Drosophila melanogaster: one gene and its partners. The gene in region 3 interacts genetically with the main gene of each other region. Each region holds a gene or a part of one and is shown on either strand. Other genes may lie near its edges.

Region 1 (9,489 bases), on a different chromosome or scaffold from region 3:
TCGAACGTACTGCCCTCGAGAAGGAAAGTCACCCAAACCCCCTGATGACTGGCTAATTGCGGACTTGCCAAAATGAATTTTCCTGCTTCTAATAATATTACCCAAGGGGCCGGGAAAAAAGGGTTGCGTGGGGCGGGGGACGGCGGGCGGGCGACTTGTTGTCGCACGTGTTCAACGCGGCGTATGCTTAATCTGTTTGGGTTACACCTGCGGACGGCGGGGGCGTCCATCCACTTGGCTCCACTGGGCCCCCAGTTGTTTCTTTCCGTTGCGTTCGTCATCGGTTATCTGGGTGCTATTTATAGGGTCGAAGCACCCGATGAGCGACTGCCGATGGGTCACTAATCGCAGTAATTATCCTTTATGGAACACAAAATTATTAATTAAATTCGGTTCGCTATTTTGCCAGAATCTCACTTGGCACATAATTGATTTACCCAGCCGTAATAATGGCAAATTGCCTTTAATTGTTTTCGCCAAAGGGCTGCTAAAGTATGAGGTGAATGGCTGTCATGTGCGATCTGTGTACTGCACTCCATGTTTGATTGGATTAACGAGAAATGTGCTTTTTTGGGTGGGAGGGGACTTAAATGAAATCAAATTCAATATCTTCACGATGGCTCATCTATGAAATTGATTATTTCGAACTCCTTTTGAAACCTATTGCCAATGCAGGCTGTGTTTTATTCTGAGTGTCTTATCAATTTGATTACAAGTGAGCATTCTTTGAAATTAAATGCACTGCTAATCCAATAAAAAAAATTAATTATTGCAGTGGTATACTTAAAAATATTCCAATATTTCAATTTAGTTCATATGGAGTCAAATGTTAAGTATTTGAATTGGTGACATGCTAATGATGTTTATAGACTTAATTGCTGTTAAATTAAATTTAATTTGTCTGGGTATAAAGCTTAATTTTTAATAATACTGCCAGAGCAAGCAATCAATTGTTATTATAAGTCAAATTGTTTTAGCCCCTCTTATTAAAATGCTCGGTCTGGAGCTATTAGCCCAATTAGTTTCTAAGCCAATGTAGAGTTATTTGTTTCATAATAATATATGTAATATTTACCTTCGTGTAGCTCTCCGTGGACCTGATATCGTTAATGGTCCACGGCAGCATGGAGGCGGAATAGCGCGGATCCACGGATGCACTGCCGCGGAAAGTCAGCGAGACGAGGCGCGTTTTCATCTTCACTGTTCCAGTTTCTGTTTCAGTTGCAATATTGACTTTGATTTAATTTCGAGTGTGGCTTATGCGTGTGTACTTTCGCCGAACGATAAACTGTTAAAATTGCTGGTCAAATTGAGTTGCGGCCCATTTATTTACTTTGCATTTTATTGGCCGCTTTGCAAATTGCTCTTTAATCGTTTTTGTATATGTTTTCCTGACGTAGCGTGCTGCAGTCCAGGATCGAATCAATATTTAATGGCGACCGCGTTTCCACATTCCCAGGCGGAAGGGAGTCGTCGCTGATGGAATTCTGACTTCGTGCGCCCAATGAATCACCCCCAAAAAGGGGGGCGGCAAAGCAGCCGGATAGTGCGGAAAATGGGCAAGTGGGAACATGGGAAAGATGGGAAATGGGAGCATGGGCAGCCGGGGCGCTGGAGCGGACAATGACCACCTGACTGCGCTTCCTGTGGGAAGGTCTCGAGGAGCGGAGGAGCAGAGAGCATCCGAGAAATTACTATCAATATTGATTTTTATTCGCAGCCAGTGCCGTCTTTGTTTTTCACATATTCATGGCTCACACATTCACAAAAATGCACAGTGCGCGCTCGCTACAGTTAACTGGCAAGCAAAAGTAGTTATTTAGATTCTCAAAGGAAAGATAGTTTCAATACTGTAGTAATATTAGTAAGAACTTTAAATTCACAGTACCATTAAGGCAGCAATGTAAGGATTCTCAAAACACGTACTTTCCTGTTGGCATGTTCCCTTTATCGAGCGTGCACTGTGATTTTTCTTTGCCTTAGAAAGAATGGGAAGATGGGGGCACGGAGGATGGGCTTGAGAGGCAGGAGGAGGAGCAGGAGGCGGAGAAAGAGGACGAGCCACCACCAGCAGACAGACTGCGAAAAAAGAGACGGCAGTCACCCCAATGTCGGAATTTACTTTTGCACTAACTTGGCACTTTTAACTTTCTACTTTCTAAGGTTTCCAATACCTTTTCGCCGCCCCTCGCCACACACACTCACACACCCGCCGTTACGCGACACACACACACACACGGATGGTGGCGTGCAACAATAAATACTGATTTTGGCGATTGGTGCGCCCGAAAACACGTTGAAATGCCACCAAATTCCGCTGAGCACTGAGCACTGAAAGTCGAGTTCCTGCCGCTTCTCCAATTCGCGATGCCTAGCATTTCTCTACGTCTCGTCCTTCGTCCTGTCGGCCGATAAATCGCGATTGCCGAGCATGCGCGTGCTGCCAGCCAAGTGGGTTGTCAGCAAAGGCGATGAAATTATAGCCGCAATTGGCCCTTACAAGACTGGTGCGCAAATCTTGCGGCAACACATTTCAATTTGCGCTTTTTCGAGTCCGCCGTTGAAAGTCAAACAAATGCGCGTCTTGTCGTTTGGAACAGCTGATTGCCAGGTGCTTCTTCTTCTGCGAGTGCCAGCCACTGGGAAGCAGTGTTGCAAAGGGACGGTAGAGGTAAATAACAGGCGCTACAAATTTAAAATTTAAATGCAAAGTGTTCTCACGTACATGTTTATTCAAAGCACTCAATAATAGTATGTACTTACTTTAATAACTAAATATTATATGCACATTGGACAATGAATTATTACTTATTTATTTATTTTGTAACCAATCTTTAAGTCAAATGGGAGGATGTATATATATGTTTCATTCTCCGCTCGTAAATTATTATTGGAGACGTGCAGATAAAATAAAAGCAAACCCGTTCACATCGAAGCTCGCCTGGTGTGACCATCCACGCTGGTCAAACTACTTTGCGCACGCCATGGTCGCACTGCTCGCAGCAAGCCAGGCTTGGCATTCAAATTTCGATCGCGACGAGCAACAGGTGCGATTTTTGGCATTCCGGTTCGCAGTGCAGCGCATTTCTCCCACTTGGCGCCCTAAAAAATCGGCCGGGGGCAAAAACCATAAACCATGGTGTATATCGTGTGTGCAAGTTGACTTTCACTGCGGGTCAATTCAGAGATCGGGATCCCAGGCGACGTTCGTCTTTAATTAAGGCGCTTCGCACGCGTTGTCGTCGTTGTTTTAGCTCCAATTTAGCTGCTTTAGCCGTTTTATCTGCTTGGTAGTTTTGGCCAAGTAGAAGAGGGGCTCCGCTGCGAACGTGTTTACGATTTTCTGTGCGATCCCAAGCTGCGATTCGAATGCGAGCTTCGCGTTTTCGCACTCGAAACTTCTTTTCGTCTATTTCTCACCCAGAAAACACAATCGCAGTAGACTTTTGAGTTGATTTTAGTGAGAAGAGGCAGTAAAAGAGCCATGAAAAATATGGCAAGAGATAAAAAAACAGACAAAAACAGAAGAAGCAGAGGGCGACACTGTGCGGAGTACCGTTAATGCGCGAGTAACTATTTAATCATGATTTAAATAATGAGGAATTCGCGCTCGTAATTGATTTAAGTAGCGCTCGGCATTTGCATAATTTTCCCCATACGAACACACACACTTGCAAGCCTGGAAAATCCGTTTTTCCTCTGCAGCAGCAGCGGCAGCACAACAAGTGCACATGTGTAGGGGTGTGCAGCCGTGCACGGCATGCATGCATGTGGCCGAGTGCAGGTGTATTGGTGCTGTTGTGAACCTAAATGGACAAGTTAGAATCCACATTCCACAACAATGGCCAAGAAAACGGCCGCCGATCTATCAGTTCCTTGGGCAAATCCAAAGATAATTGCAGCGCGGCGCTCCATTCGCAATTTACTCCACAGCCTGTGCAGAAAACAAATGGTTGCTCACAGGCTCAAGATTAGAACAATCTGAGGATCGGTGCTCTCTTTTGTGGAACAAATCTTTAAGTGTACACATGGCTATTGAACTAAATCTATAACCGGTGGCCTTAATTATCATGACAATGAACTACAAAAAAGTCAACGAAAATAGCATGAACCTTTTAGAAGAAGCTGTAGGAAAAAAGTCGCGGCATAATTAGAACGAGCGAAAGGTTGCACAGTGGGTTAAAGGTGGTGGTTTGGGTTAAGAAAGAATCGGTGGAGAAAATGGAAAACACAAATCCTGTGTTACCTGTCCGTCTAGTGCGGAATGCCGACTGTGTGGAAAGAGCTCAGAAAAGACTGCTGGGAATTAATTAATTGTTGTATTTGTAACCTTCGAAGGCAGATCACTATATTTAGGCCAATAAAATCTTGAGAATTTCACGCAAATTCATTCATATCAGCCACATTTTACACAAAAAAGGTTCGTTTATTATTGAAAAACTGAGAGAAAATTGGGAAACGCTGTAGGCTATACATATATCTAATGCTTCTTTCGAAGCTTAGATGAATCCAACCCGAATTGATGATTGGTTTGTTATTGTTTTTTCGAGCACCAAGCTTCCGATCTATTTTGAGAACCTTGAAACCAAGCTAATTTGCTTACGAAACGAATATATCTCCTTTAGAACACAATGTAACCAAGTGGGCCCCATCCGTTTGGTCAGATATTGTATCTACCCTCCATATATATTCCGAACCCACTTAGCCGCACAGCCGTCCGCCCACGAAGCCGCAGTAAGCAACTGTAAACGGGGGAAAGGCCAGAAGAAAGAGCACAATTTTCAAAGAATTCATAAGCACGCGCTAATGCGAATACTAATGTCATGCGGGCTCCATCTCCATCTCTCTGCTGACCAGTATCCACTGGCCCCTGTCGTCCCACCTAACCACCAGACCACCGCCCAACTCCAAAATCCCACCCCCCCCCCGCCCGACCACCGCCTGTTACCTGTGCGTAAGGTGTGTGGAAGCACCTGTTGTTGAACAACATAACCGTGCGTGCCCGGCCGTTCGTGTTGCGTCTTATTAGAAGCCGCATTCGGTGGCCCCTGGGCCAGTCGGTAGAAACAGAGAAAAACAAGAAAGAAAAACAGGGGAAACGAAAAACAGACTTGGCCAAAAGAAGCGAGAAACACAGCGCTGAAAACCGGTTGACGTGGAAATGAAAGAAAACCTTTTGCATTTACAGTCAAGCTTCGGGAAGGGAAATTAATTTGAGTCGAAATATTGGTACAACTTCTCGCGCCTTTTCAATTTAAAGCAAAGATATCTCCAGAAAACAAAGGTTTATAAAAATAGATGGATAGTTGTTCCAATATATAATCAAATAATAAAACCCCCAAATTTGCTTTTTCACTTCATATTTCTTTAGTTCAAGCTAACGAAGTTTGACTGTAGCACTTGCCGTATGTTAAAACTGATGTCGCTGAATAGTTGGATTTTTCTCTTTTTCCACAGATCGAATTTGGTGAAATCAATGCGTAGAAAGTGAAACGAGATTCAGACAAAGTTGGGGGAAAAGTGAAAAGCTGCGGAAAACTTGGCTAACCAAACAAACACATTTGAACACACTTGCGTTGGGCGGATTGAGATTTCGTGCTCCTCCAACCGATTTGCCTGGCCAGGAGCTGCAGTTGGAGCTGGAGCTGGAGCCAGAGCCACAATCAAACACCTGGGCGAGCGGCGGCCCACCTGCCGGCTTAGATGCGTCTAATCCAAACGGCAACCGGCGGTGCTGCTGCGTCCGTTCTGCAGACCCACTCCCAGGCGCAGTACAACTACACCAGCATGCGTGAAGATGATATCGAGCTGGCCATTAAAGTGGTAAGTTGCCCAGCCGGCTGCGTGAATCTCTGTCATTCGGATGATGAATGGTTGAAATGAGTGCACTGCAAGAAAAAAAGATGGCTACTATTAAACCAAACCCACATATACAATTGATTATATATCGTATCAAGAAGAGTTCTGCATATCCCAAAATGGAATGACTTCTTTCCAATATTAGTATATTAATCAACTTCCATATGTTAAAGCATCAGATCATCTAATAGTTTTTCTATATATTTTTATAAACTTCTAACTAGTTCTAAATAATAACTTTCTGTGTAATTTTCCCTCGCCAAGTGTTGTGAATGGCACCTGTAAGATAAAATCCGATGGAAATGTCTGTTGCTAATGGCGAAACTGCACGAATTAAGATTCTAGTTCAATTAGGGTTCTCCTCTCCCTAAATAAAGTTGTTTCTAATGGTTTTTCTGGAATTGTTTCAAATTGATTTATATGATTATTTCCGAATGTGTCTTTCTGCAGACAAGCCAAATTTGATTGACATTTACGCGCTTAATTAACTTAAATGGCTAACCGTTTTAAATGTCCAGTAGAAAGCACATAAATATTGTGAACAGTTAATTTTCTCTCCTTCTGGTGAATAACAAAACGCTTTTTTGCTTATGATTGAAATAGCAAAACATAACGTAAGACTTTTGTTTTGAAATATGAACTAATAACAACTCTGGTATTTTCCATAGGTCATTGTTGGAAATGGCGGCGTTGGCAAGTCATCAATGATCCAGCGCTATTGCAAAGGCATTTTCACGAAGGACTACAAGAAAACGATTGGAGTGGACTTCCTAGAGCGACAGATCGAGATCGACGGCGAGGATGTGCGCATCATGCTGTGGGACACCGCCGGCCAGGAGGAGTTCGACTGCATCACAAAGGCGTACTACCGCGGCGCCCAGGCTTCCGTCCTGGTCTTTTCGACGACGGATCGAGCATCCTTCGACGCGATCAAGGATTGGAAGCGCAAGGTGGAGAACGAGTGCAACGAGATACCCACAGTGATTGTGCAGAACAAGATCGATCTTATCGAACAGGCGGTGGTTACGGCCGACGAGGTGGAGACGCTGGCCAAGCTCCTCAACTGCCGGCTCATCCGCACCTCCGTCAAGGAGGACATTAACGTGGCGTCCGTGTTTCGCTACCTGGCCACCAAGTGCCATCAGCTAATGACCCAGAGCTACGACCAGGTGGCCGGAAACCAGCAAAACTCCAGCCATCCGCCTTACAGCAGCACGCCCACGATCAGCGCCTTCAGCCCGACCTTCACAAAGTCCAGCAGCGGCACCATCGTCCTCCGTCCGGCGAAGAAGGGCCATGGCTCCAGCGTGGCCCGAAAGCGAAAGATAGTGCTCAAGAAATGCGGAATATTGTGAGGAGTTGTCGGATTAGCTGGTTAGATGGCGGCAGGGGCGACTCGGCTGGCAATTAATATCTGGAGCATATTTAACGCCTAATTATTTTGGAGCCTAATGATGTTGTGGCCGGGTGGCCAGCCAACCGTTGGATGCAACCACAGCCATTCACTAGTCGTGCACAGACTCCGCGTGATGTGGTTCAGACATGCTTACGGAACAGAAAAAATAATCGGAGGCAGCAAATTGGATCTTCTGGATCCCCACGAAGATGAGATACCCTTGCGGTCGAACTGAGGAACTAAATATTTGATTTACACTGCACAACGGAAAGTTTTCACCATCTTTCGGGCCGGTTCCGATATCTCACAAAAATGTATTCATCTTTGGTTTTTAAAACTACGATTTTTAATATACAGATTTAAATTCTATGCCGGATATTGTTCTTGAACACGAAAATTATAAGAAACACCCAAATCATTTAAGACACCATAGAATAAGCTAACTTTTCGGTGTATTATTTTAACTGCAACTATTTAATACTCCTGTTTATATTTACCATATATAGAACGTATATACAGACCCAATACTCACTTGGCCACACGAGCCATTAGACCAAAACCATAGCACCCGATCTGCACGGGTAGATGATGAGTTCTCGAAACCATAGACAATATGCACGAGCACTGGCAGTTTCTCAAAAATTTCCACAATTAGTTATAGATACGAAATCAAATTTGTATGTATGTATTATGCCCGCTTTTCTATAACGGAGACTGAAGCAACTTTGCTTTCATATCGAATATGTTTGTATATAGGGGTTAGCTCCCTAACCAAGCAGAATTAAAAGGCTATTTATCACGCTACCAAGCCCAGATCACAGGTCCATGTGAAATCCCTTTGCCAATTCGCGTTGGCCAAATGTGCAATTAAACATTCAGCTTTTATAATTATTAACTAATTGCAAGTCATGCCAGAGCGCAATTTGACGCGATTCATGTAGACCAGTGCTGCTCGCATTCTATGCAAAAAACTGCAGATAGAGCACAGTGAAACTCGTGAAGCATGTAACATGTAAGCCGAATAGGAGTTTAGAAATAACTAATAAATAATAAATAACCCTAAGCCCATTAATATTCTATTTATGCATGTAATGATCCATTAATATGTTTACTTAATAAATTATTTTATGTAAATTAAGTCGATTGTTGTGCAATTGGGATTCACTTTTGGAAAGTCAGCGGGCAGGAATTTGATGAAGTGGGTTCGAAATTAAAGTAGCATAATGGGTTAAGATGTCATGGGTTAAAACAGCAGTCGTAGTTTTGAAATGTTTACCATTTTTTATTTGATTTTTGATTTTACACTTTTTTTGTAAGCTTGACAATTTTGCGATCCGCTTCTGTTACACCATCGTTTAAACGTTTCCACATTTAAATCGTTTAAACTATTTTAAATATATAATATTTCTTTCTTTATATTTACAATGCGCGTTGAAAAACTATCGCTTCGCAACGCATAAATCATTAAATGTGTATATATCTATTTTGTTGTAATTTTCAAGTGTTTCCTTGTATTAATAAAGGCATAAATAACTATTCGTCAATTTCCATTCTTATTTATTTACACAAAGTCGAAAAATCAAAATATCTTAGATATAGGCAAGGAGAGAGAGTAGAAAGTTCGATTTCTGGAGGGTCAGGGGAAGAGAGTGGTAAAAGCTGAGCATAAAACTGTGTTTTTCGCAGGCTGAGCCCAAAAGATTGTGTTTCTTGTTTCTTTGTGTGTTTGGGTTGTGTTTTGTTTGTTTTGTGAGGGTGGGTCTCTGTGTGTGTGTGTGTGCAAACTCTTTGTGTTCTAGTCTTTTTAAAATGCCTATAAAAAATATGATTTCTTGTGTTCCTCATCTCAATTTTACACGCTACGAAACTAATGTGACTTGGAAATAATTTTCTTGGCACTAAATGAAGCAAATTATAACTTTAAACCGAAAATTACCGATGTAAATATTTTGATTATAAGGTAAATTTGTTAAAGTACATTATTTTTATTTGAAATAAAGATTTTGAAAATCCTAGCTGTGTCTGTGTCTCGGTGTGTTTGCATTTGAAGGGGTAAATCCCGCTTTCAAATTTGATAAGATTATTTCATTATGCGGACATTAGAACATTTGTTTTCACTTTCTTTTGAATATATATTCCGCACTTGGTTAACTTTAAATCAGTTAACTATATATAACTTTCACGTTGCTGTTTTTGTTGCTGGCTGATGTCGTTTTTTGAGGCTACTGTATTGT
Region 2 (6,471 bases), 950 kb from region 3:
ATTATATGTTGGTATTATTTATGCACTGTTTTTGTGGCATTTTCCGATCACGTTTTCTGCGATTCCTGTGTTTCTCACTACATTATTCATAAATTGCTGACATTTTGCATTTGGCATGGTCCCGAACCAGAGTCGTTGCTCCACGATTCGATGATCCAGTGCAATGAACTCGCAGCCCTGGCTGAAACATATCGAATGGCCCTTTATGGGGCATATTCCACAAAAACTACTAATGTGGAGCACTCAAAACACCCGGGCACCGACATTAGGGTCTAGTTAGCATAATGCACAGCCAAACAACAATGAGCACCACACGCAACGTCAAGTATGTATATACATATGTATCTAAGTATCTACGTATGGCGAAGGGAAAACATTGGGGCAGTTTTGAAAACATTTAACCGTTTCACCTCGCTGAACTGCGAGCTCGAAAAAGCAAATTAAGCAAACGAATTATAGCCGAAAAGCCGTGGCAATGTTTGTTTTGGGCCAAGTTTACGCCGCCCGACAATCTAAACTCAAATATGAATTTTATCTCTTTGTAACGTTTCTCCAAAATATGTTAATCCGAAGGCTGTATTGTTTTCATCAGTTCACAAATTACGGGTGATGAAATCGGAGCGGAAATTCGGGATAATTAAAACTGGAAGTGGCAAAAAAAAACAATAATTGTAGATATATGTACATAAGCGCCAGTTTTTGTATCTGATAAACAATAAAATCCGATCTTTCTATTACTTCTGATTGTAGGCAAAGACAAGTATTTAGTGTGCAAAAAGATTGATCGCTGTGCCCAATCATGTATTAATGATATGAAACGACTGAGGAACTGTGGATAATTAAAGCGGAGTAGAAACATCACGCAGATGGAAAACATGCAGATTCATTCACACCAGTTCCGAGTACATCTGATACTGATTGCAAAAACGTTAGTGCAGTAATATTGCACATGTGCGGCAATGAGTGCGCATAAAAAGCGCAAAGTACGGCCATAAAAAGCACAGTTAAACTGATTGCCAACTGTTGGCATGACGGAGCAGCCCGTGGCAGCCCTAGCTACCAGACCAGACCAGACCCACGATTCTTCAACCCATTATTCCCAGCCACCGCTCATCCCGCTCGGACCATGCCGCTCCAGCTTTTCATAAAGCGCCCCGTCGCATTGAAATGTCACGCAAGCAATTTACATAAATGGAGTTGCTTCCGCTTGGTGAGCTGGAGAACGGAGAGCGCGGAGCGGACACAGTGCATCGCATCCAGGCAGAAGAGGAAGCTATCTTGTGTATCTGACGGGGAGTATCTGCCTATCCGAGCGCTGCTCACGTACGAAAACAACTGTTAGCAAGTGGCGAATGGGCGGGTAAAAGGCAACAGCCGATAGCGGCGGAGCGGAAGCGGACGAAGGAATCGAATCGATCAAACAATTTCCGAGCTGCTCGTCTGCCGAAAATACACAGCGAGAAATATGCCAGAAATCATAACTCGTTAAACCTAGAGATACTTATCTGCCTCAGTTAAGTTCAACTTTGCTAGTTTCTTATCTAAGATTATAAGAGCAGATCGAAGATCTTCAAAGAAACACTTGTTTATTGCTCTGTATGAGCTTTAAGCTAGAGCATCTTCGATGGGTTTCCCACTGACCAACTTCACGGTTAGTTAACACCTTAATTTGCCTACAAATTGCTCAAGTTTGGAGTTTTGAGTTTCTTTGGTCATGGTTGCGTCTTTCGTTGCCCCTTTCTTTTCGGCGGCCAGCTGAGAAGTGCTTGGCCAGATGAAAACTGAGGAACGGAAAACTCAGTGCGTAGACCCACGTGCTGGCCGCATTAACTTCACAGTTTTGTAAGAGGGAAAACGGAAAAGCGGTAATAAATGCCCCGATGTGCGTGCTGGCTGCAAAACTGAAAAGGCGCTTTATTATCGCCACTTCGGCGAGGCATTTTGTAATGTCTAGGCTGGAAAAATCAATTCGGCCGTGAAACTTCAACGAAAACGAAAAGCATGCTGTTTGCACCCCCGAAGTGCAGCATATTTTTGCGACGACGCACAGAAGCCGGCACCCTGGGAAATCACATGGATTTGGAAAGTCCTAACCTCAACATAATAGCGGAAAATGAACTAGCGACTTGGGGCAGGCAATGGCCACAAAGCACGGAAATGCCCCTTTCAGCGTTTCAGTTTTCGGGGTGAGTTTCGGTCTATGAAATCACTTCCGCTTACGCTTTTTTCCTCTGACATACAGACAGTGGGTGTGGTGCCGAAACACTTGTCACGCCACAAAACCAATGATTAGCCGCCCAGCAGCTGCAAAAATCGATAAGGTCCGTGGGTCAACAGCGTTTTGGCCTGTCTTGCCGGTTTTAAATGCATCCAAGTTTTTAAAAATGCCTGGCTGAAAGTAAAACAACTTGAACCACGAATCTTTTCTTTCGTCTCATCAAATGTTGTTTATCGATATTATTATTTTATCGATCGCCTTTGATTTCCTTCAATTTCTACCCCGGTAACACCACCTTCCCCTGCACTACAGTCTGCTTTAGTTAACTAGTAATCCCAGCTTGGAAATTGAAATTCCTTGTTTTTTTGTGACGCATTGCCTGTTGCCAGGCGGTTGCATGTTGATTTGGCCCACCCTCCTCCTCTCACCACACGTCCTGATGACTAAGAACGATTTCGCTTTCCTCGCTGCCGAAGCGAAATTCAATACAAAAGATGGGAAAACGCGTGCCGCCGCCTTTCACTTTACTTGTTCGTCGGTTGGCGCAGAAAAGAGTCTGTTAGGCAAATGAATGGGCAACCGACTGAATGGATGCCAAAGATGCTCCACCACCGGGGCGGGGTGTTAACAATTCCCGAAAGACAATGCAGTGTGTTGTTACGGAGCATATATAGTATGCATAGTTATAGTATATACATAGAAGATACCACGCACCAGAGAGAGAGAGAAACCCGATCAGACCAATATAATGTCGAAAGTGACGGACGGTACGGAACGCACCTGCTAGGCGATGGGCGCTGTGCTGATGACGCGCTGCTGCAATTGCATATGTATATCAATTTGTTGATAATGATAGTGGTGGCTATGGCCCGGTTTTAGGTATCGCCGATTTCCAGACTTCCAGATCGTGGGCCCGAGGAAAGCGCCGCTAATGAGCGAGGAAAGCGGACTTCTTCGTACCGGACCAGTTGGATGTCGTCGTCGTCGCCTCGCACACTCGAAACAATTTGTTCTTCTTTTGCCCACCAACACGTTATTGAATCTCTTTCACTGCCAGCTAACTGGTTTTTTCAGTGCTCCGCCACTGCTCGCCAAATACACACACATTGACCACTTTCCAGGGTTCTCTTTTCACTCACTCTCGTGCTTTGATGTCGCGATTTTACCGATCTACCGCCTGGGCGTTCAAATTGAATTTCAACCACGACGTCGTCGCACAATTCCGCTAATTAAACTAGTCGTCTCGGTTAACTAACGCCCGGAAAATTGTGGCCGCGCTGCGCTCGAAAATTCGGACCTCGCGCTGTAGAAATGCAAGAATAACAACAACTGCGCCAGCTGAGCGCCAGCTGAGCGCCAGTGTGGCCAGCCACTCTGTTCGCGGTGGGGAAACATCGATGCCGCCATCGATGCTGACAATCGGCCTATTGAGTACTTGTGGCTTAACATTTTCGGTGAGTTTGAAATTTTGGCGGTTAAGGTGCACTTACCAGATTTAAAGGAACTTAAGTTTTCGTGACAAGTTTGTATAGCATTGACTAGCCTCCACTATTTTGGTTAAGAAAATATAAAACCAGCAACAATAAGACTAATTGTAGACGGATAAAAAATTAAAATCTTAATAAGGTCACTGTAATGAAAATGAAGAAATGAAATGAACACAAGAACAAATCAAACAAATGTGCTTATTTCCTGGGGTAAATATCTCATACTGCATTTGACTAATGATATATATTATACTTTCAATCAGCAGAATGGTAGTCTAAGAGAAAAAACTCTTGCACCCAATATTATGACATTCCTCGACCAAAAAATAACAATTTAGTTGATAAATATTTATACCCAAGACTTAAGCTTCAATTTAAAAATAATTTAACCTGAAGTTCAGCAGGTGGTTAAAATCGACTCCGTTTGATAATTTAATTTCATAAATACATATATTTGATACAATATATGTAATTACATTAGCTAAGTTTGGTGATTTAAAGCAACATGTATCTCATTTTATAGGACGAAATTCTTGGGTGGATAGGAATACAGTTCCTAAGCGGTTCCACCGAGTTGCTTGGAAAGTTGCGATCAATCCACTTCCTGAACATGGACACATTTTTGAAGGTCGAGGAAACGTTTGGCCTGCCGCAATCGACGCCCCAGGCCACGATCCCGACCTGGTGATATCTAGCGAAGATTGCGTCAGGGGAACAAACCAAGATGGACCCACCGTCACCAACGCAGACATCCTTGTCCTTCTGTCCGCTGACACATATGAGACTGGTGGCAAGCTGAAACCTGGTTTTCCTCAACATATTCTGGCAATCTCCTTTGTTTACTATGGGTAACTCGATTTGCTTTTGTATACTCGACATTTGAGAGTCGTTAAAAGAACGCTTTCCCCATCCGGAAATCACACAGTGTGTCTGCTCAATGGACGACCCTTGAAGAGGTAAGCAGATGGGCTGTATGTCATTTTTAAATGCAAATGTAGACTCCAGGTATAGACAACAACAGGTGGGCTGCCGTTAGTACAACCTCAGGGGCAATCAGGGAACCTCCTCCAAAGAACGAGGACAGGGACGGATTCTCCATCTGGTGTAGTAGGGGTAGAATGGATACAAGCTGCGTACAAACTCTGTGAACCTGTAGTGCACTTACTTGAGCTCTTATTTCACTTACTTGAGCCCTTATTTCACAACACACTTAAGTGGGTCCACAGAATACATTAGTCGGTCGATGCCAATCGCCGGTTTGGTGCACTCCCATCGTTGGCCAAACATCGTTTTGGATAATAACAGGCGTGGCCACAAACCAACCAGCTCAGGAGAAGCACTCCTATGGTCTAGTGGCACTCCATTGTCCGATTCAGAAGACTACTTGCCGAAGACTGATATTGCAATAAGTGGTCTCAGCAGGCTTTCTTATTACATTTCTTTTTTGCTGATAAGAATAAAAAAACATGCAACACGCTTTCCAAGAAATTGAAAATTGTAATCGAATTGTTTTATATTTTATATTCACACATATTTCTATTTGTTTATAACCCAATAGGCTGGAATACAAAAAGGTAATCAGTATATACATAGATAACATCCACTTTATTCGGACTTTAAATAAGTAGCGATATGAGTGTTTAGAGAAGCACCCCCAATCCAAATTGATAACCCAGAACGCCGCTCTCACGAAGGCCCATTAGCTCAGTTGGTTAGAGCGTCGTGCTAATAACGCGAAGGTCGCGGGTTCGATCCCCTCATGGGCCACTCTTCATTTTTTGCTTTTAGCCGGATAACTAGCCAAGTCGATCTAGGCATTCCAGTCTTCCTCACTTATCATCTAATCGATGTAGACGCCCGTTCACGTAGTGACGAAGCGCACCCTGAGAGCGTACGAAAGTACTCAGTGAGCATTCAGAACACAGTTTTCTAAAAAACAAATGTATAGAGACATCAATGTGCTCATTTAGCTAATGGGCATTATTATTGGTCTCATGTCAGGAATAGATCTTTAATCGCATTCAAATTGCATATCATTTCGACCAAAGATGTCTTATTAATACGAAATTCAGTAATCGCAAGATAGAAACTTACGCCCGAAGGTGCAAAAAGGTCAAAAGGTGCAATAGGCCATTTTGCTGCGAACTATACAAATGAAATATAATTTAATAATATAATTATTGGAAATATATTAGTTTACTAATTGATTACGAAATCCATTTTCCTTGAAACTCAATGTACAAAATGCAAGCATAATATAATTATTATAAATAGAATATTAGTTTTATTATGTTACAGTTTAATAATCATTCATATTGCATTAAAACACAATCCTATGTTTTGAAACATAAATCCCCTCAAAATATTTGCTTTCTACGTACTGATCCTAAAAATGTAACTCATAATCACGTATACGCAATGTTGTCTTGTATGTGCGTGCAGTGCAGTTTTAATGTTTAAAATTAGTTATTTATTAAAATGCAACTTCCGAAAAAGCATATCCATGTGGTGACTGGAATCTCCTACGAATCCAAAGGATCAGTTTAGGATTTTAAAATTCCGAGCCTTTGGCTAATCGATTATCTCCCAACTTAGCATGGAATTGAATCAACTAATTTTTTTAAAGAACTGACATCTGACCATTCCCATTACTGCATTTACTTTATCTTTATTATGATGTATTTGAAAATAGTCCTTCTAAAATAATAATCTAAGAAAATTTTTATTAAAATGTATAAACCGGATGAGCGGCGTAGACTCAGAAAC
Region 3 (7,494 bases):
CAAATAGCTTCAGTGAAAACGGTGCCACATTCCAAAATTAACAAGAAAACATAAATAATTTTTACCCCATTTAATAGACAATACGCATGTACACTGAATCTATTGAAGATTACGATACGCTGCTACAACGTAATCCTACTTACCTGCCCGGACTTCGAGGTGCTGCTGAAGCGCATATTGGCATTGCGAATAGTTTGAAGAGCCAGAACTTGTACGGAAGATCCAAAGCGCATTTCCAATTGGCTCTGGAACACCTTCAAAGGTATTAGCTCAGCCAGCGATTTCGTGTATCTGTTGATAAGTTTTATCCATTCCTTACAGCGCCTTCCTTCAGCGTGAAGCTCAAGGAATGGTTTGGCTATGGCGCCTCTCAGCTAACATTTTCGTTCAGACAGCCCAGTTGCCGCATTCGTTGGCCAACTTGGATGTGGCTGGAAACCTAGCCAAGCGCGAAGAACCCATTGCATATCTTTCACGCAAGGATCTTCTACAGCTAGCTCAGCGCTTCTACTTGTGCGCCTTAAAACTGAAGCAGAATACGTACCTGTGGTACGAGCTATCGTTAGCCAGCTACTACAGTGCCATTCTCATACCCGAGGATGCAAACGGCCACTTAGAGACGGCGACTAAGGCGTGCAAAATGGCCATTAAGGAGTGTAGCAACAGATGGCAAAATTGGAATCTTCTCGGAGTTATCAATATGAACTCCGAAAATGAGAACTTGCCATTGGCACAGCACTGTTTTATTCAGGCTGTAGTGCTGGAAAAAAAGTGCTACACAGCGTGGACCAATCTCGGAGTTCTCTATATTAAACTGAATGAAGTCCGATTGGCCAACGAGGCCTTTACGAGAGCCCAGCAATCAAGTCCCGTGTACGCCAACGCTTGGATTGGACAAGCAATGGTTGCGGAGTTGATTGGCGATCGCGAGGAAGCCTTTGATCTGTTTCGTCACTGCCAGCAGTTCGATTACCATCCGGAGGCGGCGCTTGGATTTGCGCATTGGGTGTGCGAAATGCTGTCGACTCCTGGATCTTTCGACAAGCCGCGCATAAAGCATGCCATCGAACACATGTACGCTGATGTGCTTGCGCTGGATGCCATCAATTGGTAAGTATTATAGTAATGCCCTATCTAAAACCAACTAAAGACTTGCAATACATTTAAGGTATGTGCAAAACGAGGAGACGGATGCGACACCAGCATCGCTGTCGTTCCAGGGATTTCTCTACGCCCGGAAAAACCTGTATCGCCAAGCAATCGAAGCCTTCACTCGGGCGTGTAAGTTGTGCGAACCTGGAGCGGATCGTGACAAGCTCTACACGAATCTGGGATACCTGTACTTAAAAATAGACCAGCCGGAGCAGGCGGCACACGCCCTAAACACGGTTGCACATGCCACATTTAAGCCGATCATTGGCCTGGCCCAGGCATATTATCTAGCCGGTCAGTTGCAGGAATCCTACTCTATTTACAACTCCGTTCTCGGCAACGTGGTTGATCATGGCGATGACAAAGCAGCTACCATCCTCGTGGCTATGGCATCCATGATTTACGACTTTCAGGGCGAAGCGGACACCAAAACCCTACTCTATCAGTGGTTGGTAGCGCAATATTTGTTTTGTTGATTCAACATTTCTAACGTTATAATCACCAAAAGTGTCTTGTTGAAGGAGGTCCCCATTCAGGCGTTGTTTTCAGCCCTTGCCCTAGGTATACTTCATAGAGATAATGCGTTGATCCATACGATACTGACGGAGCTGAATGCGTACGCCTTTAAGAAGGAGTATTGTGCCGACATATCCTATTTAACGGCTCACTACATCCTGATAAATGTTCGTTAAAAGTGGTGAATGTTGTGGTTCTACAAAAGTAATACTATGATTTTGTTTAGGAGGGTGCCCGAAGAGCGTTGTGCTATCTACAGACTCGCATACGAATGTTTCCCAATTCCCGAAGTCTGCGAAGTGTCGTGCTAAAGTTTCTTCTTGATTATTTCTCTGATGACCAATCCTATCGACTGGCTACTTCAAATATGGGTCGAATAACTCTTACTCTGGGACACACTAAGCAACAAAATAGGTAAGACTTGGGAATTTATATACATTGTATTATGATAGACTGAATTTGTTTATATTTAGCATCTTGGCCAGCGAAGAGGCACTGACCACTATATATGCCAGTCAGGCGGTTAGTGCAGTAGACAAAACCTGTTCTATGAAGTTGTTGCAGCGCGCCATACTGCTAAGCCCAACTGACCAGAGAGCCAGACAATTACTTTCCGCTATTATTGCAAATTCATGATATTGTCCAACAAAATAAACTTACTTTAAAATTTAAACTATCAGTTTGGCGGTTGAATTGCCAAACTGATAGTGTTTGAAAACACTAAATGCAATGTGACCGTGCTGCTGATTGTGTTGCGGTGGTCACACTGCGTCGGGGGTGAAGCCAAGTCCACGAAAAAGTGAATAAAAAGCGAAAAATGTGCGAGAAATAGTTAAATAGCGTATGAAATAGCCATGCAAGACACGAATAGTGACAATGTGCCGCAGAATTAGCCGCAGATAAAGCTCTAAATCGCCTATAGGCTATGCACTGCGCCCTGCATACCTGCGTATGAAAAACCTGCTGCCGCCGCAATTACAGTTAGACACTAAAATAGCTGCACGGCCAGGTTGCAAGGTGATTTGGGGCACGTCTCTTCGCGAGCAGGAGATTCGGAATCGGGCATAGCTCTCGCGCGCTAGCCCAATTGCAATGGAAAACGAATCCGTCAAGTCGGAACACAGTGGACGCTCCAGACGCTCGCGGAATCACAACAACAACGGCGGAGGGGGTGGCGGCGGAGGTGGTGGCGGAGGAGGCAGTGTCAACAACGGCTATCACAGGGAGCGGGACCGCTCCAGACATTCCCACCGCAGCACACACTCCTCGAAGTCGGCCAAGGGATTTCAACGTGGCGACATGGCACCGTACCAGACCAGCGTTAATATGACAGGTGAGTTTGTTTAATGGCTCTATCGGTGGAAGGAAACCAATTGACCCATTTATTATTTGGGCACCAGGAGACGGCAGCCACGATGGCCAGGAAGTCATCGAGGTGCAAATCCTTCCGCAGGACGAGAACTGGGGCGAGAATACTACCGCCGTCACGGGGAATACCTCGGAGCAAAGCATCTCAATGGAGGACATAAACAACATGTGGCATCGTGAGAGCGACAAGGGCTTCAGCTTTGCGTGCCGCCGATACGTGGAGTCGAGCTTCTACTTCCTGCTGGGATGCGGAGCGTTTTTTTCGCCAGTGGCAATGGTGGTGATGCCGTATGTGGGCTTCTTTCCGTCGGCCTTCGATCATCCGGAAATAACGCAAACTGTTCGCACCCAGCTGCTGGCCTGCAGTGAGCAGTGCAAGGGCCAACTGGTATCGCTGGCCGCCCGGCTGCTGCTTCTGGCCATCGGCCTGTGGGCAGTGTTCATGCGACGTACATCGGCCACCATGCCACGGATATTCCTATATCGCGCTCTCGTCCTCCTTCTCGTCACCATCTGCACGTTTGCTTACTGGCTCTTCTACATCGTGCAGGTCACAAACGGGGCCAAAATCGTTGTGGAGACGGGCGGCGATGCCGTGGACTACAAGTCACTGGTAGGCTATGCCACCAATTTTGTGGACACTCTTCTATTTATTCACTATGTGGCCGTGGTGTTACTAGAGCTGCGACACCAGCAGCCTTGCTACTACATCAAGATCATTCGCTCCCCGGACGGCGTTTCGCGCTCCTACATGTTGGGTCAGCTGAGCATCCAACGGGCGGCTGTGTGGGTGCTACAGCACTACTACGTGGATTTCCCCATATTTAACCCTTACCTGGAGCGCATCCCAATATCGGTCTCCAAATCGCAGCGAAACAAGATATCAAACAGTTTCAAGTACTACGAAGTGGATGGGGTGAGCAATTCGCAACAGCAAAGCCAGAGTCGAGCAGTTCTAGCAGCCAACGCGCGGCGCCGAGACTCCTCGCATAACGAGCGCTTTTACGAAGAGCACGAGTACGAACGTCGTGTGAAGAAACGGCGTGCCCGTCTTATAACCGCCGCCGAGGAGGCCTTCACCCACATCAAACGCATTCATAACGAACCGGCTCCGGCACTGCCGCTCGATCCGCAGGAGGCTGCCTCGGCGGTTTTTCCCTCGATGGCCAGGGCGCTGCAAAAATACTTACGGGTTACGCGTCAGCAGCCGCGGCATACCTTTGAGAGCATACTGAAACATCTGGCGCACTGCCTAAAGCATGATCTGTCGCCCCGCGCCTTCTTGGAACCCTACTTGACCGAGTCTCCGGTGATGCAGAGCGAGAAGGAGCGACGCTGGGTGCAGTCTTGGTCCCTGATCTGCGACGAGATCGTCTCTCGGCCAATTGGCAACGAATGCACGTTCCAGTTAATTCAGAACGATGTCTCCCTAATGGTAACCGTACACAAGCTGCCGCACTTCAACCTGGCCGAGGAGGTTGTGGATCCCAAAAGCAACAAATTTGTTCTTAAGTTGAACTCCGAAACATCCGTATGACACCACCACAACGCCCCTCCAATCAACACTCCCACTCATAGCAACCAGACGCAATCGTCCTACTTGCATGTGTTTGTCTGATTTTCCCAGCTACTAATTCACATATTCACATATTTTCTTTACTTCAGCCAAATCGATGACGTTCTTGTGAGAACTGCCATCAGGGTAATTGAATTCATTTTTATATATGCCTGAAACACCACAACCAATCAAACCAAGCAATCAAAATTACTTATCAATGAACAAGAGGAGCATTTTTAAATCGATCAAAACCCTGAATTTAAAAAAAAAAAGAAAAAAACATGGAAGTTTAGAAAGGAAAAGTTGTTGTGAGAACAAAATGTCTAGGCAGGCCTCAGCAGCTAAATTTTGATCTTGTAACAAATGATTATTAGATGAGAAGGCAACGTACTTATCAGTGCTAAACTTGAACTTATGACCCGAATATCAAGAAACAATGCTCAAAAGCCCAGTGTATCATCCTAAACCGACGCGAACATATCACACCCTTTGATAAGCAAACATGACTTACAAGTTCCCAAAGTATTAATTATAAGAATGATGGTTTGGCTTGCCGAACCGCGATCTTCAGATATCAACTCTTAAATGCAGCTCTTTTATACACGATTTTTATTTTAGTAAATATGTTTAGTGTAAAGTTGGGCTTACTCTTCGCGGAATATCTAAAATTTTACCCGATATCTGTGAGGCGTGAGCCCGATCGCTAGCCTTAAGAAGGAATGGAGTGAGCCAAGGCAAGCCCATGGAATTTTAGCTAGGACTCGGACTTGCGTCGAAAGTGCATTGGCCACTTTTGACGCGACTTAATAAGATTTTACATACGCACATTTTAAGCCGAAACCGAATGGTCCTAACTCTTCTGCCACAAAGTTGAGAAACGACGAAACAACTATAACTCGAATGCAACTGATGACAAATACATAATATAAGCGAAGACTGCCTGAATATGCATTTTATACACACAAATTGCCAACAGCCACTAGCAGGTGTATGTACTAGCCTGTGCATAGCAACCACATATATACAAAAACTCGTGTATTTTTAGAGACAAAATTATAGTGATAAGGACCCGAATTCGTATTCGAACATGTGTACGTTCCAGTGAACCCAATCTATATATACATACATATATGATATATACCTATTTACAAAACTACTTAGAAACGTTTGCTTGAGGTTTGATTTCATTTTCGTTTTCTAGCTAAATGTCTTCTGTCGAAGCTCTTTTATATTGCAATTATCTAGCAATTACTTAAAGCAATTGGAAAACCAACCTAAGCATACATACCATTTATACATACATTTACTCTCAAACTGTAACTGTTGTAATTGTAACTAGCATAAAAAACAAAATGCGTAAATAAATCAAACCCACTTCTTTAACAGCTTTAAACGAATTGTTCTATCTCGAAGGTGACGCAAATCGTGGAAATGCGCACGTAATTAATTCATTCTTGGGGGTCTTTTGAATGTCTGAAAGTTGCCTTATCAGCTCGGGATTAACAAACAGTTCCTATATTGATTATTGAGCCCAGCAGGTTTACCAAATCGCACTGAAGTATAATGTATGAGTAGATTTAATCGCAATCAATCAAGTTTCAAGTTCTTTGTGATACAAAGACTCGAATGCCTCTCGAATTTCTATGATAAGAGTAATAAGCTCAATTAATTCAAGTGGAGTGAGCACGATGGTCTCATTTCATAAGCTACTTAAATATCAAACTGAGGAAACCCATGATTTGGTGCCTGGTGGTGGATGGTGCGTTCGCTTTTATTTACATTATTTCATAAATACTAGCCAAATGTGAGTGGAATACTAACATATCAGATATCCTTTAAACAATAATAGGCAACAGCTTGCGCTGCTGTTGTTTTTTGGCTTGTGCGTCGTCAGTGCTGTTGGTATAGAACTTTCAATTTTAGACAGGTCTACGTGTTAGATCTTTCGTCCCAGTCGCCTAGCGTATCCGCTTAAAGGTGCATTCGGATTATTCCTTCCTGCGCTGGAGGCCGTTCTTGCTTGGCTCGTAGAATTCCTCGACAATGGCCTCCACCATGGTATTCATTGTATTAGTCAGCTTGGCCCAGTTTTTCTCGTCCGGCTTGCCACACATTTCGGCGTAGTACTTCATCTTGGGCTCCGTGCCGCTGGTGCGTAGAGTGACCACGAGTCCGTTTTTGAAGGTAAATGTGATCATTTGGGAACTGGAGCTGGTCGGCAAGGTGGCCTTCTTGTCGCCAGTGCTACTGTCGAATCCCGTGGTTAAATCGCGAACGTTTTCAATCTCGTACTCGCCGTTAAGGATGCTGGTCGGATAGGTGTCTGCCTTGCCCTCGTCCCAGGTGCGCAAGCGCTCAAAGATCTGCTCGATGACCGGCGGGCAACGGCATATGACATAGGAGCTGACAGTCGTGTGGAACCCATATGTTTCGTAGATGTCGCGCAGTTTCTCCTGCAGTGTCATGCACAGCTTGCACCGAAGATAGCACGCCATAGTGGCCAAATGGCCAGCCGCGCTGACACCATCCTTGTCAAGTACGGTGGTGCCGACCATGAAGCCGATCGCCTCTTCGAAGGCAAACAACACAGTTTTTCCCGCCTGCTGTAGCTCGATTGCCTTGTTACCCATCCACTTGAATCCAGTCAGCGTTTCGAAGAACTGGAAGCCTTCCCGCTCGGCCATGGCCCTGAGAATCTTTGAGCTCACCGTACTGGCTATCATCACACAGTTACTAACATCGCAGTCGGGTTCTCGCATTTTGTGCAGCTCCAGAGACCACCAGCCCAAAAGAGCGCCCACTTCGTTGCCGCTGAACAGCTTATAGCTACCATCCTCGCGTACTTCGGCAACTGCCAGGCGGTCGGCATCCGGATCGTTGGCTAAAATTATTTGGCTGCT

Evidence for each region. A genetic interaction does not mean that the proteins touch.
Region 1: of Vang (region 3) and Rab23, changing one enhances a phenotype caused by changing the other (phenotypic enhancement), as found in Drosophila melanogaster (one study listed by BioGRID).
Region 2: of Vang (region 3) and kermit, changing one suppresses a phenotype caused by changing the other (phenotypic suppression), as found in Drosophila melanogaster (one study listed by BioGRID).

What each region holds. Positions count from the first base shown.
Region 1 is NT_033777.3:5,678,956-5,688,444, reverse strand, and holds Rab23 (Rab23), read left to right. Parts: upstream 1-3,010; 5' UTR 3,011-3,047; intron 3,048-5,457; 5' UTR 5,458-5,703; coding exon 5,704-5,823; intron 5,824-6,527; coding exon 6,528-7,214; 3' UTR 7,215-8,391; downstream 8,392-9,489. Other genes in the region: plx (pollux), read right to left, coding at 1,076-1,195.
Region 2 is NT_033778.4:8,153,057-8,159,527, forward strand, and holds the start of kermit (kermit), read right to left. Parts: upstream 3,599-6,471; 5' UTR 3,358-3,598; exon of another isoform or gene 2,999-3,357; intron 1-2,998.
Region 3 is NT_033778.4:9,100,816-9,108,309, forward strand, and holds Vang (Van gogh), read left to right. Parts: upstream 1-2,422; 5' UTR 2,423-2,760; coding exon 2,761-3,001; intron 3,002-3,068; coding exon 3,069-4,573; coding exon of another isoform or gene 4,574-4,654; 3' UTR 4,655-5,981; downstream 5,982-7,494. Other genes in the region: CG8777 (uncharacterized protein), read left to right, coding at 1-21, 78-262, 322-1,110, 1,169-1,600, 1,661-1,835, 1,895-2,082, 2,142-2,304; Pgm2a (phosphoglucomutase 2a), read right to left, coding at 6,583-7,494.